4 linked regions of the Oryctolagus cuniculus genome follow. The protein of the gene in region 2 binds, or shares a complex with, the protein of the main gene of each other region. Links are inferred from orthologs where the notes say so. Each region holds a gene or a part of one and is shown on either strand. Other genes may lie near its edges.

Region 1 (4,202 bases), on a different chromosome or scaffold from region 2:
TCACCCTGTCGGGGTGGGAACTGGCCTAATGAGGGGCGGCCTGATGGGGGAGACTGGCCTGATGGGAGGGGGTAGGCCTGATGGGGGGCAGTCAGATTGATAGGGGGGAAGCGGCCTGATGGGGGAGAAGTGCTGTGATGGGGGGAACCAGTCTGGTGTGGGGGAGAGACGGGCCTGATGGGGGGGAGCCAGCCTGATAGGGGGGAAGTGGCCTGATGGGGGGACTGGCCTGATGGGGGGGAAGTGCCCTGATGGTGGGGGACCGGCCTGATTGTGGGGGGGGTGGGAACAGGTCTGATGAGGGGAAGCACCCTGATGGGGGGGATCGGCCTTTTGTGGGGGGAAACTGGGGGAGTCCCCTATCTGAAGGGGGGAGTCACCCTATCTCCCTGACTGGGGGGATCGCCCTGATGGGGGAGGGGGGATCACTGAGCTGGAGAGGCAAGCGGTCTGCGGGAGGGGTGGGATCACCATGACGGGGGAGGGGGGGGCGGTAATCGCCCTGACTGGGGGGTGGTGATGAGGAAGGAATCCCTTGACGGGGGTGGGAGGGGTGATGACGGAGAAGGAATCGGCCTGACCTCCCCCAGACGGAGAGGTTACCGGCCTGACGGGGGCGGGGAGCGGCAGGACCCCGGCCCCCGGCACCCCGGGTCCCAGTCACCACGCCGCTCCCAGCCCGAGGTTCGGGGCCGCCGCTCTGGGGCGGTACTTCCTCTAATGCTTTACGAGGGCTTAGTTTCATCTGGATATTCTCAAGATCCGGACACCCGCGTCACGACGTCCTGGGGGCAGACCCCCCACCCCTGCCCCGCACGCGGCAGTCCCCATCCGGGGCCCGACTAGGGCCCACCCCTCTAGGGGCGTGGCCAGGTCCCTCCTCCCTCGGGGCGTGGTCAGGGGCCCCGCCTCCCCGGGGCGGCATCAAGAGGCCTCGCCTTCCCCGGAGCGGCATCAGGAGGCCCCGCCTCTCCCTGGGCGTGGCTAGGTCCCTCCTCCCCCGGGGCGGGCTCAGGAAGCCCCGCCTCCCCGGAGCGGCATCAGGAGGCCCTGCCTCTCCCTGGGCGTGGCTAGGTCCCTCCTCCCCCGGGGCGGGCTCAGGAGGCCCCGCCTTCCCCGGAGCGGGCTCAGGAGACCCCGCCTCCTCGGGGCGTGGCCAGGTCCCTCCTCCCTGGGGGCTTGGTCAGGGGCCCCGCCTCCCCGGGGCGGCATCAAGAGGCCCCGCCTTCCCCGGAGCGGCATCAGGAGGCCCCGCCTCTCCCCGGGCGTGGCCAGGTCCCTCTTCCCCCGGGGCGGGCTCAGGAGGCCCCGCCTCTCCCTGGGCGTGGCCAGGCCCCTCCTCCCTGGGGGCGGGCTCAGGACGCCCCGCCTCTCCCTGGGCGTGGCCAGGCCCCTCCTCCCTGGGGGCGGGCTCAGGACGCCCCGGCAAGGCCTCAGGCGGGAGCCGGCGGAACCACTCTGCGCAGCCGCGTTTCCGGGCCGGGCCGCTCGAGGCGGGACGCGTGTCCGCCGCCGACCGCGCTCCCCGGCGCCGACATGAAGTTCCGGGCCAAGATCGTGGACGCGGGCTGCCTGAACCACTTCACCCGTGAGCGGGGCGCGGGCCGGGGCGGGCAGGGCGCGCTCGGGGCGAGGCGGGCGCCCGGGGCGTCTCCGGAGCTCGTCCCCCGCGGCGGGCCGGCGCGGGAAGCGGGAAGCGGGCCGGGGCGCTGAGGGCCGGGGCCGGCGCGCCGCGCGACTCTGTCTCCGTGCCCGCTTCCCGCCGCAGGCGTCAGCAACATGGTAGCCAAGCTGGCCAAGACGTGCGCGCTGCGCATCAGCCCGGACAAGCTCAACTTCATCCTGTCGGACAAGCTGGCGGGCGGCGGCGCGAGCCTGTGGTGCGAGCTGCAGCAGGAGGACTTCTTCAGCGAGTTTCAGATGGAGGGCGTCTCCGCGGACAACAACGAGATCTACCTGGAGCTGACGTCCGAAAACCTCGCCCGGGCCCTGAAGACGGCGCAGAACGCCCGGGCCCTGAAGGTCAAGCTCACCAACAGGCACTTCCCGTGCCTCACCGTCTCGGTGGAGCTGGTGAGCGGCGGGCGGCCCGCGGGGGGCTCATTTCCAGTCGCACGGAGTCCAGGCAGCCCCCGCCCTTGGCAGCCGGTGGAACCCGCGCCGCCCCGGCCCCCGTGAGTCTGGGAGTGGTGGCCGCGCTGGTGCTGGGGATGCCAGTGCCGGTGCGAGTGCCAGCTCGGCCTCCTGCGCCCTGCTGGTGCACCCCTGGGGAGGCAGGTGACGGCTGGCCCCGCCCTGGGCCCCTGCCACCCAGCCCCCAGCTCCCGGCTTCTGCCTGCCCAGTCCCGGCTGTCCGGGGCATTTGGAGAGGGAACTGGCACACGGGACGTCTCTGTCTCCGCTGCTCTGCCTTCCAAATAAATAGAAATTGAATCAAAGACAGCCGTTTCTGTCCGTCTTCCCCTTAGCCGTGCTCTCCCAGGCCGTCTGCGGGCAGTGGCTTCCTCTCATTTTGCTGCCGCGAGTCAGCCCACGCAGGGCCCCTCGGTGGCTCCCGTTTCCTCACAAGGCCTTCAGGGCCCAGTCAGACACCACCGCGGCCCAGTGCTGCAGCTCGCCGACTCGCTGACTCACGGGCTGAGTCCTTCTTGGGCATGGCGGCCGCCTCCCCCGCCCCGTCCCCGCGTCTTCTCTGCGTGTCTCACTCTACAACCTGCGGTGACGATGGTGTTCAGCCCCAGCTCTGTGGAAGACGACTCCTCAGCTCTCTGCAGCGGGCCGGTACTCACGGCCTGGCTGGAGCCCCTCAGAGCCCCTCGCCACAGATCTGGATGGTTGAAGCTTCCAGCAGAGGATGAGCCGCGGGAGCTGAGCGGCTTCCCCGTGGCTTCCCCGCGGCAGGCAGCGTTGCGTCTGCCCCGCGCTCTGCTGGGCTGTTTTCTGGAGTGCTGTCTGGGGCGCGGCCCCTCGCCCGGTGCCGCCAGCCCGGCTGCCTCTGCTGGCCTTGGCAGCATCTGCGGGTGACCTCCCAGTCTGAGCAGCCTCCCTCGGGCTCTGCCTAGTCTCGCTCCTGCGTTTCCTTCCAGGCTGTATCGAGCACCTCGTGCCGTCTTGCCGTTTTTTTGTGTCCCGGTTCTGCCGGAACATCAGGGCCCGCTTCCCAGGTGCCGGCAGAACGGTGCTCCCTCGGCCTGGCTGAGTGGGTTTTGAGAGAATGTACTGACAGCATTCGGCTTCCCTCAGATAGTTCAACTTTTTGGTCCTCAGTAACTTGGCTTTTTAGCACGGATAGCAGAACCATTTTTAATTCTTGTCTTTCCAGATATCCGTGTCAAGCAGCAGTCGCATCGTGACGCACGACATCCCCATAAAGGTCATCCCTAGGAGACTGTGGAGGGACTTCCGGGAGCCCTGCATCCCAGATTCCGACGTAAGTGCTGTCTGCGGGCTCGCCCCTCGGGGCACATGAAGGGCGGGGTTTGAATTCTGTGGTTTTGATTGATCTTAGGGTGCGTTCATGTTTGTTTTAGAGTTGTGTAGGGCCTGAAGAGAAAGTGGCATTCATTTTTAGGGCTGTTCAAGGAGAAATCTGAGTCATGCCTTTGTTATTTGCAAAAAAGATCTTGAGAGACGATCGCGTCTGATGGACGTGCCATGCTCTCAGTGACAGCACCGGGACAGGCCTGAAGCGGCACCGAGTGGTCAGCTCGGGTCTCTGAGGACCCGAGTCCCGCGACCCAGCCGTCTGGATGTGTGTCACAGAGCCGGGAGGAGGGCGTGATCGTGACCGAGCGCCGTGGAGAGTAAAGACGATGCCCAAGGGCCTGGCCTCCTGCTCACCGTTTGCTGCAGAAGAAATTCAACGCTGTGCTGGACAGATGATCACTGGGCTCCGCCGAGGGCCGCCTGGACTTGGGAAAAGGCAGCGTTGGATGAAGCACACGGGTGACGTGGCCTCGGGGTGGCGCAGTGACTGCTCCCTGTCGTGCACAGAGCTCGGAAGAGGCCCCGCTGAGCGCCGCCGTCCTTCTTAGGTGCTTAGGGACAAGCCGCCCAGGGGGGCAGAGCAGGCATGCCGTGCTCCAGTTTTGTTTCATTGCTGTGAGTTAATGAAATTAGAAAAACGGGTCCCCTGTGTTTTGAAGAGCTTCATTCAGATCATTTAAAAGCAGGACGCAAGCGTGCGTGCATTCCAGAGTCAG
Region 2 (4,254 bases):
TCTTGGGTCTTAAGTTTCTTGAGCTGTAAAATTACGGAAGTTCTGAAAATTCTATTAAGTTGGACCATAAAAATTCTACATCTTCAGTGAGGAGACAGCATACAGACCAAATAACCATAACTATACTGCTCTCAAGTACCTGAAATAAGGCTTTTCAGGAGACATGGTGATCTGTAGGACCTCACTTGTCATATCCAACTCGGAAAATGCCTCCCGGAGTCCCTCTGACTGCAGAATAATTTTATTAATAACGTTGGTGCTGCAAAAATCAAAATCCAGAGTATCCTCAGGCTCCTGAGTATTGATCTTGCAGACTGTCACCACTCCGCCTTCTTCCAGAAACAGCATCAAAGGGTGGCCGTAACCCTGGTAACACATCCGAAGTGCAGTTAGAGTCCCTAAAATGGTGAAGAAATCACACCGCTAGTTAATGGCAGGGAAAAGCAGAAACCAGTTCTGGGAGCAATTTATTGTATTCAAAATTTGTTTGCATTCTTAAGAAATCCTGTTTATAAGTTATGTTTTCATTTCTTTTGGGCATTATTTTTAGGAATGGAGGAATTCAGTAACCATAAATGTAAAACTATAGGAATCCCCAGAAGAATTATTTTATTTTGTAGGAAAGCAAGTTGGATATTAGGCGAAATTCAGCTATGGTTCTCTAGATAATATACTTTAGTTTTATCCTGACAATTCCACTATTACTGCTTATACATGTTTTAATACATTGCTTTCTGGCACTCCGTTATGGGATGTGGCAGCTTAACCTGTGGTGCTGCACTGCCAGTGCCCTATAAACACACTCTTACTTGACACTCGAAAATGTCAGGGTCCACAAGAGTAACCACTGACAAAGAAACTGGTTTAAGAAATTCTTTTAAAGAAATGCTTTTATGCTAAATAACACTGCATTATTCTCATTCTGTATAATGCTGTTGTGTCTTTATAATAAAATGGTTTACCTGGCGTAGGACTTGATCCAAAAATTGATAAGCAGTCTAAAAGGACAGTTAAATTAATGCGAAAAGTAATGGACTCTTCCTGAACTATGAACTCTTGAAATATTCCAGCCTAAGAGAAGATAAGCACAGAGATGGTTACACATATTAAAGACTGAAAACTCACATATAAGATTCTAGGTTTCACTGTTTTAAAAATAACTATACTGTGCTGACCCCATGAGATGTTACCTAACTACCAATCAAAACATCTTAGTTTTGTCAACTGTTTTCCATTAGAACATTACTGCTCAGTGAAGATGCAACAGTAATGGAGCTCCCATGCAAAACCTTGTGAAGGGTCCTTTCTCTCCGTTTTTTTTTTTTTTTTCCTGGTAAGGATTTACTTATTTGAAAGTCAGAGTTACACAGGGAGAGAGATGGAGAAAGAGTTTCCATATGCTGGTTCACTCCCCAGATGGCTGCAACAGCCAGGGCTGAACCAAGCCAGGGACAGGGGCCAGGAGCTTCTTCCTAGTTTCCTGTGTGGGTGGCAGGGGCCCAAGCACTTGGGCCACCTTTGTGCTTTCCCAGGCCATTAGTAGGGAGCTGGATCAGAAGTGGAGCGGCCTGGCCGTGAAACAACACAGATATGGGGCGCCAGGATCTCCATACCACAAAGCCGCCCCTCTCTCCGTTCTTGCATGTAAAACTGTCCTTTTTTGTGCCCATCAGTATGGCTAAGGTCATTTGGAAAACAATCTAACAATGCATTGTGTGATACTAGTTTTCAGTTTCTTTGAGAAGAATCAAGTCTTATTTATTCTTCCATGCCTGGGGTCATAACTGTGAACTCGGGTGTTTCAAAACAAAACAAAACAAAACTGAGGGGCTGGAGCTGTGGCGAAGTGGGTTAACGCCCTGGCCTGCAGCGCCGGCATCCCATATGGGCACCGGTTCGAGACCTGGCTGCTCCGCTTCTGATCCAGCTCTCTGCTATGGCCTGGGAAAGCAGTAGAAGATGGCCCAGGTCCTTGCACTCCTGCAGCTACGTGGGAGACCGGGAGTAAGCTCCTGGCTCCTGGCTTCGGATCGGCGCAGCTCCGGCCGTTGTGGCCATCTGGGGAGTGAACCAGTGGATGGAAGACACCCCCCCCCCCCCCCCCCGCCACCTCTCCTCTCTCTGTGTAACTCTGACTTTCAAATAAATAAATCTTAAAAAAAAAAATGAGCAGAATCCAAAATCTTTTCTGAACCATACAAATATTTCCGTGTAAGACTCTATTACAGCCAAAAGAAGGAAAAGCATTTTTCTAAAAGGGAAATAGCTACTAAAGAGCATATAGTCTGGAAACAAACATTTGGGGTTCTTATCTCAACTGTTGGGACTGCTGGCAAATCGATTAACTGTTTGCACATACGTAAAACGGGAGCAACAGAAGGTGTGGGGCTACCGTGAGGATCAGATGAGCCGAACACCTAGAGGACTGGCTAGCCTAGGGTTTAGCTTTCTAAACGTCAATCATTATCATTATTCACCATTATCTCTGTTAAGATGGGGAAAGAATGTTTCCAGGAGAGAAGACACCTTAAACGCCATTCTGTTTTCAGACTTAACTTGTCTACTGAGACCTTTCTCGGGCTGGAAGGCGCCCGTTGCGTACCTGGATGAAAGCGTTGGCTTGCACACACTTCGCATTTTCCACTGTGACTCGGATTCCATTCTTAGTAGCGAAGCAGGTGGCGTGCTCGCGGAAGTGAATGGCTTTCAGGATCGTGGAGAGGTTCCTGACGTTGTCCAGGCTGGCCACTAGGCTGTACTGGACACTCTCGTCCTGGATCCGCTGGGTGAGCAGCGGCATCCTGCCTGGCACCTGGGGCCCACACCCGCTCCCGAGGATCTCAGAGCACCTGCCGGGGGTCGGAGATAACGTGGAAGGGGCCAGGCGAGGCGCCACTGTAACTGTGACCCTGCGGGGGATTCTTGTCTTCCCAGTGCGGACGGTAACACGGGGAAAGTAGCTTAGAACGAAAACACGCAACCCACAAAGGAGGTGCACTAGGGGGCCAGTCACGCCACTTATCCCCGGATCCGCTCGGGCCACCTCGCGCCACCAACCTGGCTTGCAACCCGACAGGCAACCGGGGTGGGGGCGCTCGGGTCCTATGAGTTTCTCCCAGAGTCCGAGACAACCAGTTCAGCTGCCCGCGGGACAGCACCCGCTTCCTAGGGCCGGGATCGCGAGCGCCGGAAATCCTACCCTTGTAGAGGGGGCCAGACACCCGAGAGCCCGGCCCAGCCTGGACACCGAGCAGGAGAGCTGCAGCTCCCGGAATACCACGGAGCGGGCGGCTCAGCTCCCGCCACTATCTTCAGACCAGCTCTCCGCTTCGGCCACCGTCACCACAGAGCTGGAGGAGGCCTAGAGAGTCGCACGGCGGCACCACCGAGATCGGAAGTAAGCGCCAGAGAGTCGCGGAAGAGCCATAGAGGAGAGCGAGCGGTATCATCGAGACCGGAAGTAAGCGCCAGAGAGCCACGGAGGGGCCATAGAGGAGCGCGTGCGGTACCATAGAGACCGGAAGTGGAGCGAGCGGTGGAGTGGGGGGAACCGGAAGAAAAGCCAGTAGTGGTGTCGAGGCAAGATGGCGGCCACCAAGAGGAAGCGGCGTGGAGGGTTGCCGGTGCAGGCGAAGAAGCCGAAAAAAGACGACAGAGATGCCGGGCCGCAGGCAAAGAGTGGCGTCACGACAGAAGAGGTGGAGGAAGAAAACAGAGACCGTATCCCCGGCCCCGTGTGCAAGGTAGAAGCGGTTACCGCTACGCCGGCGGCGGCGGCTCCACGCGCCTTCCCCGGGACTCCCTAAATCTCTCTTCCTTTCGGAGTAGCTGGGGTGTTGGGGGAACCCGTTCCCAGCAGTGCTCTTGGACGGTTTGTGCATGATGTGTGCACCTAACTCGTACGCGCCGCCGTCCTCGTTTAGGCGGTGGGCTTTGGAACCCTCCTTACCCGGCGTAGGGGAGAACTCAGCTCAGGTGTTTCCATAGGCTTTTCCTTGTTCTTTTCTACCTCTTTTGGAGGGTGTGTTTTTGCGAAGTTGTTTCGGTCTGTACTGCCGTGGTCGGCCAGTGTCATTTGGGAACCCTGAAGCTCGCCTTGGGAACCTTTGGAAAGTTGTTCGTGGGATGAGGCCTTTGACGCCTTGATCTGGGTCTTGAACTGAAGGGATAGTGAAAAATACGTTAGATCGTATAGCTGTCTCACCAAACACGCTTCTAAGGAGCCGTGTGCGACTGTCCAGTTAGGCTTCCTCT
Region 3 (4,109 bases), on a different chromosome or scaffold from region 2:
ATTTTCTTTCACAACTTACAAAATATTTGCATCATGACAATTCTGTTCTTGCATGTGCTTAAACACATACTTTAACTTCCTACATATACTACTGCTTAATCCCCTTTACAGGACCAAGACTTGGAACCCCTATCTCCTGACTACAAGAATGCGCTACCCTCAACGTGCTAAGGTGGTTGTGAAATCTGAGGAATGTAGTTTCGGCTTTAAAAGAGTGCTTTGTTGAGTCTAACAAATACTTGGAATACTCTGCCAGTAAGTCAAGTCGTATAATTCTACTTCAAGGTACTTTCAAAGACAGAATTGGCTCTTTTACAAAACCTTCCATCGCCCTACAAAAGGACCACATATTCTGTGACATTTGCCACCTGCTCAGAGGTCGCAGGCGCTCCCTACCCTACTGTCCCTCTTTCCTGTATATCTAGGCTTCCTCTACTTTCAAATCTCGGCTGTGATTCCACCTCACATCCCTCCAGGCTTCCCTCCTTCTGGCATGCACCTCACTAGACACTATTCCTCTAGTCCACTGGATATTTAATCTCTCCTTCTCTCTCTCTCCTATCTGACAGGCCTCTCTGTTACTGTCAACCTTCCAGCCGGAAAACTTCCAGAGTGACTCCTCTGACCCCGTGCCAATCCTCAGCAGGGGGACCCTGACACAGCCTAGGAATGCAGGGGTAGGCTGGAGACAGTGTTGCGCAATGGTGAGAGCGCCCGGGAGCAGGGGTGCATGTGTGCGGGCTGGTCTCGCACTCCATGAAGAACAAGGTCTGTCTCCGTGCCTGGCACAGTGGACGCTGAGCAAGCAGGCCATCCAGGCCTTCCTTGGCCTGTGGACAGCGTGCAAAGGTGAAACTTGCAGGCAAGGCCAAGGGGTGCTTTGGGAGACGGGAGAGACAAGGCCAAGGCCAGGAGCTAGACGCAGAAAAAAATGTGCACGTTCGCTCAGACCTCCTTCCCAAGCGGCCCCAAAACTTCCACTCGCGCGTCCCGCGCCCTGCGCTCGGCGCCCGAGCCCCGGCTCCCCGCCTCCGCCCCGGCCGGGCCTGGGACTCCATGGCCGCTCCCCGCTCACCTCCAGACTGTAGCACCGCCGCCGCCGCTGCTGCAGGGCTGTGCCTCCTCCAACCTGGGGCCGAGCCAGGGCCCCCGACAGGGACTCGCACCCGGCCGGCCGGGTCCCGGACGCGCGGGAGGGGCGGGAGCCCCGGGGGTTCCCGGGAGGGGAGGGGGGGTCCCGGGCCGGGGCCGGGGATGCGGTCGGGCACCGGAGCTTTCAGTTTGTTCCGCTGTTTGAAATTGGCGCCGGCGGAGCGTTGCGGTTACGTTGCGGTCACGTGACGCGGCGCCGCCAATGGGCGCAGGCTTGTCTCGGCGTTCCGGCTCGAACGTGGGCGCCCGGCAGCAGCAGCCACGGCGGCCTGGCGCGGCGGGGAGGTAAGGCGGCCGCGGCGGGCTAGTGGGGCCCCGGCGCCGGACGGGGCGGAGGAGGAGCCGCCTGGGGAGAGGGGCGCGGCTCTGGGGCGCGGGGTGGTGGCGATCGCCCCCTGCTTCCTCACGACGGCCTTGGAGCGCTGTGGCCGCGGATTTCCCTCCTGAGCAAAGTCGTTCTCCGGGGTCGTCCAGTGGACCTCCGTCTGCTGCAGGAGCCCTCTGGGGGGTGGGGTGCAGCGTGCGCCCCCCGCCCCCTCGCCGCGGTCCACCCGCCCTTGGCTTGGATTTTGCCTGCCTGCGACCCCCGGTCCGCCCCACTCCCTCTCGCAGCCCGGCCTTACCTGGAAGAGACCGGAGACGCATTCTGCAGCCACCATGGGCGGGCACGGGCAGGCCCCGAAGGTACCGAGGAGCTGCAGAAGTTCGTGGAGAAATGAAATGGAAAGATAAATGCGAATCGTCCGTGGACCTTTTGCAGCTCCCTGCTAGGATGAAAGACAAGGTCTTTTGCTTCTCCTGAACTTGTAGGTTAATGGAGGGGCTGGGGGGACGGGAGTATGGATGTTTTTGCAAGAGTCAAATAAACTTAGAATGAAAGCATCCTCCCGCTCCTCGTCATCAGTGCACTCTTAGGTAGGACAGGCAGGGCCTTTCGGATGAACTGCACCGTGCTGTGAGCCCTGCCGCCTTTTGCAGAGAAAGGAGAGACGCTTTCTTGAGTAGAAGAGGGGAATAATGTGTGCAAAGACGATGCCCGGCGGGAGGAATCAAAGGCTTAGGAATATCCGGGTCTGAGCTAAGAGACTAGGACGGATTGTGGTGTGAGTCGAAGCTGCAGCCAGAAGAGGTAGGGCCTTCGCCGTGCTGAGGAATTTTGTTCTGACCCGAGAAGCAGAGGAAGCCAATCAACAGCTTTTAAGTAGGAGAGACCCAAGATCGGATTTGCATTTTTAAGAGAGAGGCACCAGAGGGGATTAGGGTAGACCTGTTAGGCCATTGCTGTTCTAGACGCGTTGGAATCTGAAGAAGGGCAATGGGGAGAGAAAAGAGAACGGAGAAGGAGAGAGCAGTCAGAAAGAGACATATTTAAGAGAGAAATCTGCAGGCTTGGTGTTGGGTGGGGAGCAGGGAGGGGAGTGTCAAGGTTTCTGGCTGCCTAACTGGAGGACTGATGATGCTGTCCCTTGAGCAAGTCCCCCCTCTGCCCCAGCATAATCACTTTGGCCGGGGTTAGGGGTGGGAGGTGCTGGGGGAACCATGGTTCAGTTGTAAATGTTAGTGCGGAATTGGAGGCGCGCTTGCGACATCTAGTTGCTGTTCAGCAGGCAGCAGGACATCTGAGTGCAGAGCTTAGAGTTTTAAGCTGAAGAGGTAGTGCTGAGGTCGTCTACCTCTAGGTGGTTGTTGAAGTGTGAGCAGAGGACATTGCCTAAGAGCATAGAGTGAGAACCAGGTCAGAGCCCAGCCGGGGGGAACAGAAAGGGCTGACTTCTGATTAGACCACAAGGGAAGAGGATGGCTACAGATTTATGTAGGCGTGTATGTTTGCTTTCTGCAAAATCCCAGCATTTCCTTTGATGTCATCTGTATTTTTTGTGAAGTAGGAAGTAATGTCATTTCTGAGGTTTTAAGAACGTGGAGAGGCCAGCGCTGCGGCATAGCGGGTAAAGCCACCGCCTGTAGTGCTGGCATCTCATACGGGCACCAGTTCTAGTCCTGGCTGCTCCACTTCTGATCAAGCTCTCTGCTAATGCGCCTGGGAAAGCAGAAGAAGATGGCCCAGGTGCTTAGGCCCCTGCATCCACGTGGGAGACGCAGAAGAACTCCTGGCTCCTGGCTTCAGATCAGCACAGCTCTGGCCATTGAAACAATTTGGGGAGTGAACCAGTGGAAGGAAGATCTCTCTGCCCCCCTCTCTCTCTCTCTCTGCCTCTCTGTAACTCTGCCTTTCAAATAAATAAACAAATCTTTAAATGGAAAAGAACACGGAGGGGCAGGCCTTTGGCCCGCCAGTTAGGCCCCTGTTGAGGCACCTGTGTCCTTCATTGTAGTGCCTGGGTTGGACACCTGGCTCTGGCTTCCTGCCAGTGAGGATCCTGGGAGGCAGCAGTGATGGCTCACGTAACGGGGCCCCTGCCACTCATGGGGGAGAACTGCTCTGAGTTCCCAGCTCCCATCGCTGGGCCTCTAGCTATTGCAAGCATTTCAGAAGTGGACCAGTAGATGGGATCTTTCTGTCCTGCTCTGTCATAGACATAGATTGCTTTAAAAAAAAAAAAAAAAAGGCTTAATCTTTGTGGAGAATGAGCTGATTAAAGAAATAGCAAGATTGCCAAACAATGTAGCACCCATTTGAGGCTGTTGACCTCAGCAAGTCATGAATTTCCACATTCTCCCCAAAGTTTGTTATTTTTCTCTCTCTCTTTTTAAGATTTATTTACTTAGAGCCGGCACCATGGCTCACTAGGCTAATCCTCCACCTGCCTCGCCAGCACCCTGGGTTCTAGTCCCGGTTGGGGCTCTGGTTCTGTCCCGGTTGCTCCTCTTCCAGTCCAGCTCTCTGCTGTGGCCCGGGAAGGCAGTGGAGGATGGCCCAGGTGCTTGGGCCCTGCACCCGCATGGGAGACCAGGAGGAAGCACCTGGCTCCTGGCTTCGGATCAGCGCGGTGCGCCAG
Region 4 (4,026 bases), on a different chromosome or scaffold from region 2:
AAAAATAAATCTTAAAAAAAAAAAAAAACCAAAAAACAAACGAAAAACCACGAGCCCACGTGGGGCACCCACGTCCCAGACAAGGATCCCTGGGTTCAAGTCCCAGCTCTGCTTGAGTCAGCTTCGCGAATGCGCACCCGTGGCACGGGAAGGTTCCGGAGCTTGAGCCCCTGCCAGCCCGGTGGGAAGGCCGGATGGGGCTCCCGGCCCCTGGCTAGGCAGGCGTCTGGGGAGTGACCCAGTGGATGGAAGGCCTCTCTCTCTCCCTCTCTCTCTCTCTCTGTCACTCTGCCTTCTGAATAAACGAACGAGTGAACAGATCCTTACAAAAAGCCCAGCGTCGGTTTCACTGGCCCTCCGCTGACGCACAGTCACTATTCATGGGCCTTCCTGTTGCTCCGGCCCAGGGAACACTTCCCGAGGCGCACGGGCACCCTACCTCTGCGTGCCTCTGTCGACAACTGCCGAGCGAGGGCTGCAGCATTTTTAACTCAGCGCCACTGTTGCTCAGCCTCCCGTCGCAGGGAACGGGGATGCCCGGCTACAACCCTCCAAAGGCCTCCGGCCTCCACGCGCTGTGGTCACCTTGCAACTCGGCGGGAGCAGACGGGCAGGCTTCAGGCTGACCACTGCCTTCCCGGGAGGCGGTCAAGCTGCCGAAGTGGCGGCCGCGTCTAGCAGAGCCTGAGCCGCACCCGAGGTTTCCAGATGCGCAGTTCCGGGGTGCGAAGGGTGGCTCCTGGCCAGTCGGCTCGCTGACCGCACAGCTGTCCCCGGGGCTGGCCTTGGGCGCAGGGAGGGGCGGGACGCCCCCAGCTCCCGGGGTCTCCTTGGCAGAGTTCCCGTCCCGTCCCGCGGGCAGCCGGTCCGTCCCGGCGCAGCGCCCATCTTCACACCGTCCTCCCTGGGTCCAGCGCCTCTGCCGCTTCGCCCCGCACCTCAGACGCCTTAGAGCCGCGGCTGCCCAGAGAAGCTACCTTTCAGGCCTCCGCGGCCTCTCCCAAGCCGGCCTCGCCCGACGGCCGCGGGACGCACTCGGCGAAACTCGGGCGCCATCTTGCGTCGGTTCCTAGGGCCTCCCGGGGACAACCCGGAAACCACACTTCCCAGCGTGCCTAGCGCTTCCGAGCATGCGCAAAAGGCCCCGCTGGTTTCCATGGGAACCTGGCTTCCAGCGTTCGGGTCGCTTCCCTCGACGGCGCGGGCAGGGGTTCCTCCGCCGTTGGCGTGGGGTCTGCAGGCGGTTGAGGGGACAAAGTAGCGGCTGGAGCGGACGGGGCCAGGGCGGCCCCGCCTGCCGGCACCAGCCCTCCCCAAGTTCTTGCTGGTGTCCCGGCGTCCGAGCGCCCCGGGGGCTTCGGCGCGCTGAGGCGAAGGGGTCGGCCGGGGTCGGCGAGGCCGGCGTCCGGCTGTGGTCAGCGCGTTGTCCCCTGCGGCCGAGGACCTGCGCGGCCGCGGACAGGTACTGGCGGGCGCCGGCCGCTGCAGGGACGGTTCGCGCCGCGCGTGAGTGGAGGAAGCCTCGGCCGGGCCGCGAGCGCGCCCGGGGCTGGACGCGGCTCTGCCTTGGCTGCGTCCGGGGCCGGGGCGGCTCGCGGCGCCTCTGGCCTTCAGGGGCGAGGGCTTGCGCTGGGATTCGGGTCCCCGCTGCGATTCCGTCGCGGAGCAGCGCCTGGCTCCGTGGCACCGGAGGACGGCTCTGTCGCTGGCCTGGGTGAAGCAGGTCGCGTGCTCGTCTGCGCAGCGAGAGAGACCGGGAACTGGCGGGTTTTGAGCCAGAACAGAGAAACTCGGGTTCGTCACTTTTTAAAAAGATTTATTTGAGTCCGGCGCCGCGGCTCACTAGGCTAATCCTCCGCCTTGCGGCCCCGGCACACTGGGTTCTAGTCCCGGTCGGGGCGCCGGATTCTGTCCCGGTTGCCCCTCTTCCAGGCCAGCTCTCTGCTGTGGCCCGGGAGTGCAGTGGAGGATGGCCCAGGTGCTTGGGCACTGCACCCCATGGGAGACCAGGAGAAGCACCTGGCTCCTGCCATCGGATCAGCGCGGTGCGCCGGCCGCGGCGGCCATTGGAGGGTGAACCAACGGCAAAGGAAGACCTTTCTCTCTGTCTCTCTCTCACTGTCCACTCTGCCTGTCAAAAAAAAAAAAAAAAAAAAAAAAAAAAAGGCGGAGTTAAAAACAGGCGGAGTTACAGTGGGGCGGGGCGGGGCGGAGGGAGAGCCGTGGGTCTTCCGTCTCCTAGGTCACTCCCTAAATGGTTACAGCGGGCTGGGCCTGGCCGAGGGACCCTGGAGCTCCATCCGAGTCTCCCATGTGAGTGGCAGGGACTTGGGCCTCACCTGCAGCTCCCCCAGGCTGGACGGAAGCGGACCAGCAGCCACGTGGGATTCTGGCCTTGCAGGCCGTGGCCTAAGCCGGCGGGGCCCCGGGTTGTGACTTTGTTGAGTCCAGTCTTTATATCTCTGGACCCTGTTTCCTCACGTGCAGAAATGAGGATTAGGATAGGACCGCCTCCCGTCGTGAGGATTAAATGAAAATATTCGTGTGCGTTTTTTTCAGAAAAGAATACGCGTTTATTTGAAAGGCAGAGTGACAGAGATCTTCGATTCCATTCGGACGCTGGGTCACCGCCAGGCCCGGCGAGGCGGGGGGCAGGAATCCGTCCTGCTCTCCTACCTGGGTGGTGGGAACGAGTGCTCGGGCCGTCTTCTGCTTCTCGGTGCATTGGGGAACTGGGTCCGAGGCTGCGTAGCCCGGAATGGAACTGGTGCGGCGTCCCAGTCAGCGGCTTGGCCAGCTGTGCCGCAATGGCCGACTGTCAAGATTCGATGTAGTCTGAGTGTTAATTGTCGAATCAGCAACAGGAGTCACTGTGCACTAACTCCGGTGCAGGACCTCTGTCCTCAGTGAGCTGTGTTACAAGAGTTAACTGTACGACTTCTTCTCTGTGTGTGTGCAAACTGTTGAAATCTTTACTTGGTATAGAGTTGGTCTTCTGTGTACAAAGGTAATTGACAATGAATCTTAATGGAGAACGGGGCTGGGATGGGAGAGGGAGGAGGAGGCGCAGGAGGGCTGAAGTTGTCCTTATGAAGTTTGTGTTCCTTAAATAAAAGGTTTCTTTGGGGAAAAAAGAAAGATTGTATGTCAAAGACGGAGAGAAAGGGAGAGAGAGAGATTCCATCTGCTGGTTCACCCCTAAGTGCCTACAACTGCTGGGGCTGAGTCAGGGGGTAGCTGGGAGTCAGGACCTCCGTCTGAGTCTCCCGTGGGGGGCGGGGCCCAAGCCTGGGCCATCATCCGGTTCCCCCCAGGATGCAGTAGCAGGAAGCTGGTGGCTGGGAACTGTGCTGGCACCCGGATGTGGGATGCAGTTTTCCCACGCTGTACCACAGTGCCTGCCCCAGTGTCAGGTTTTAGTTCAGGGCCTGCATGTTGTAAGTTCTTCTCAAGTCCTGGCTATCATTTCTGATCATTAAAAAATAAATTCCTTAGGGGCCAGGGCTGTGGCATAGCTCGTGAAGCTGCCAGCTGTGGTGCCCGCATCCCATATGGGCAGCGGTTCAAGTCCCGGCTGCTCCACTTCCAATCCAGCTCCCTGCTGGTGCGCCTGGGAAAGCAGCCGAGGATGGCTTCCATCACTGGGCCCCGGCACCCATGTGGGAGACCCAGATGAAGCGCCTGGCTTCGGCCTGGCCCAGCCCTGGCTGTTACGGCCATTTGGGGAGTGAACCAGTGGATGGAAGATATCTTTTTTTTCCTTCTCTTTTATTGATGTTTTTAAAGATTTATTTGAAAGGCAGAGTTACAGAGAGGCAGAGGCAGAGAGAGAGAGGTCTTCCATCCGCTGGTTCACTCCCCAGATGGCTGCAACGGCCGGAGCACGTAGTAGAGAAGGCACTCTCGTCATTGCGCTCCGCGGGGGATGGGCGCACTCACCCGTGTGCTTCAGAGATGGCTGGCTGTTGAGTTGCAGTGTTTACGTAAGACAGGCTGCTCACACGGCTGTAGGAACGCATGCGAATC

Evidence for each region.
Region 1: the proteins of RAD1 (region 2) and HUS1 are in contact, whole or in part, in a crystal structure (PDB 8GNN), measured with the Homo sapiens proteins. The link is inferred for Oryctolagus cuniculus from reciprocal best matches to the Homo sapiens genes RAD1 and HUS1. Residues at the interface, in NP_002844.1 of Homo sapiens: Asn85, Val88, Asp91, Cys92, Ser94, Ile95, Phe96, Gly97, Ser98, Gly127, Val128, Val129, Thr130, Val131, Cys132, Lys133, Ile134, Asn135, Gln137; in NP_004498.1 of Homo sapiens: Thr165, Ser168, Val169, Lys172, Met173, Asn175, Ile176, Glu197, Leu198, Val199, Cys200, Val201, Thr202, Thr203, His204, Phe205, Lys206.
Region 3: the proteins of RAD1 (region 2) and RHNO1 are in contact, whole or in part, in a crystal structure (PDB 6J8Y), measured with the Homo sapiens proteins. The link is inferred for Oryctolagus cuniculus from reciprocal best matches to the Homo sapiens genes RAD1 and RHNO1. Residues at the interface, in NP_002844.1 of Homo sapiens: Asn47, Gly48, Ile49, Lys50, Phe64, Ile65, Gln66, Ser149, Lys155, Ile157, Glu211, Ala212, Lys240, Val241, Ser242, Arg244, Gln254, Tyr255, Met256, Phe266, Glu268; in NP_001239428.1 of Homo sapiens: Ser55, Trp56, Val57, Ser58, Pro59, Asp60, Phe61, Asp62, Thr63.
Region 4: the proteins of RAD1 (region 2) and RAD9A are in contact, whole or in part, in a crystal structure (PDB 3GGR), measured with the Homo sapiens proteins. The link is inferred for Oryctolagus cuniculus from reciprocal best matches to the Homo sapiens genes RAD1 and RAD9A. Residues at the interface, in NP_002844.1 of Homo sapiens: Glu165, Ala166, Ser168, Glu169, Asn195, Ala196, Gly197, Ser198, Ser199, His200, Leu201, Asp202, Tyr203, Pro204, Asp206, Ser207, Glu211; in NP_004575.1 of Homo sapiens: Leu76, Ser82, Val83, Ser86, Leu90, Lys92, Leu112, Phe116, Gly117, Val118, Arg119, Lys120, Thr121, His122, Asn123, Leu124.

What each region holds. Positions count from the first base shown.
Region 1 is NC_091447.1:53,481,245-53,485,446, reverse strand, and holds the start of HUS1 (checkpoint protein HUS1), read left to right. Parts: upstream 1-1,402; 5' UTR 1,403-1,536; coding exon 1,537-1,588; intron 1,589-1,768; coding exon 1,769-2,073; intron 2,074-3,322; coding exon 3,323-3,430; intron 3,431-4,202. UniProt on the Homo sapiens protein: Component of the 9-1-1 cell-cycle checkpoint response complex that plays a major role in DNA repair. The 9-1-1 complex is recruited to DNA lesion upon damage by the RAD17-replication factor C (RFC) clamp loader complex.
Region 2 is NC_091445.1:60,574,898-60,579,151, forward strand, and holds the start of RAD1 (cell cycle checkpoint protein RAD1), read right to left. Parts: upstream 2,801-4,254; coding exon 2,603-2,800; intron 1,072-2,602; coding exon 963-1,071; intron 399-962; coding exon 140-398; intron 1-139. Other genes in the region: BRIX1 (ribosome biogenesis protein BRX1 homolog), read left to right, coding at 3,585-3,743. UniProt on the Homo sapiens protein: Component of the 9-1-1 cell-cycle checkpoint response complex that plays a major role in DNA repair. The 9-1-1 complex is recruited to DNA lesion upon damage by the RAD17-replication factor C (RFC) clamp loader complex.
Region 3 is NC_091440.1:106,446,525-106,450,633, reverse strand, and holds the start of RHNO1 (RAD9, HUS1, RAD1-interacting nuclear orphan protein 1), read left to right. Parts: upstream 1-1,309; 5' UTR 1,310-1,437; intron 1,438-1,449; exon of another isoform or gene 1,450-1,958; intron 1,959-4,109. UniProt on the Homo sapiens protein: Involved in microhomology-mediated end-joining (MMEJ) DNA repair by promoting recruitment of polymerase theta (POLQ) to DNA damage sites during mitosis.
Region 4 is NC_091432.1:4,711,957-4,715,982, reverse strand, and holds the start of RAD9A (cell cycle checkpoint control protein RAD9A), read left to right. Parts: upstream 1-1,226; 5' UTR 1,227-1,462; intron 1,463-4,026. UniProt on the Homo sapiens protein: Component of the 9-1-1 cell-cycle checkpoint response complex that plays a major role in DNA repair. The 9-1-1 complex is recruited to DNA lesion upon damage by the RAD17-replication factor C (RFC) clamp loader complex.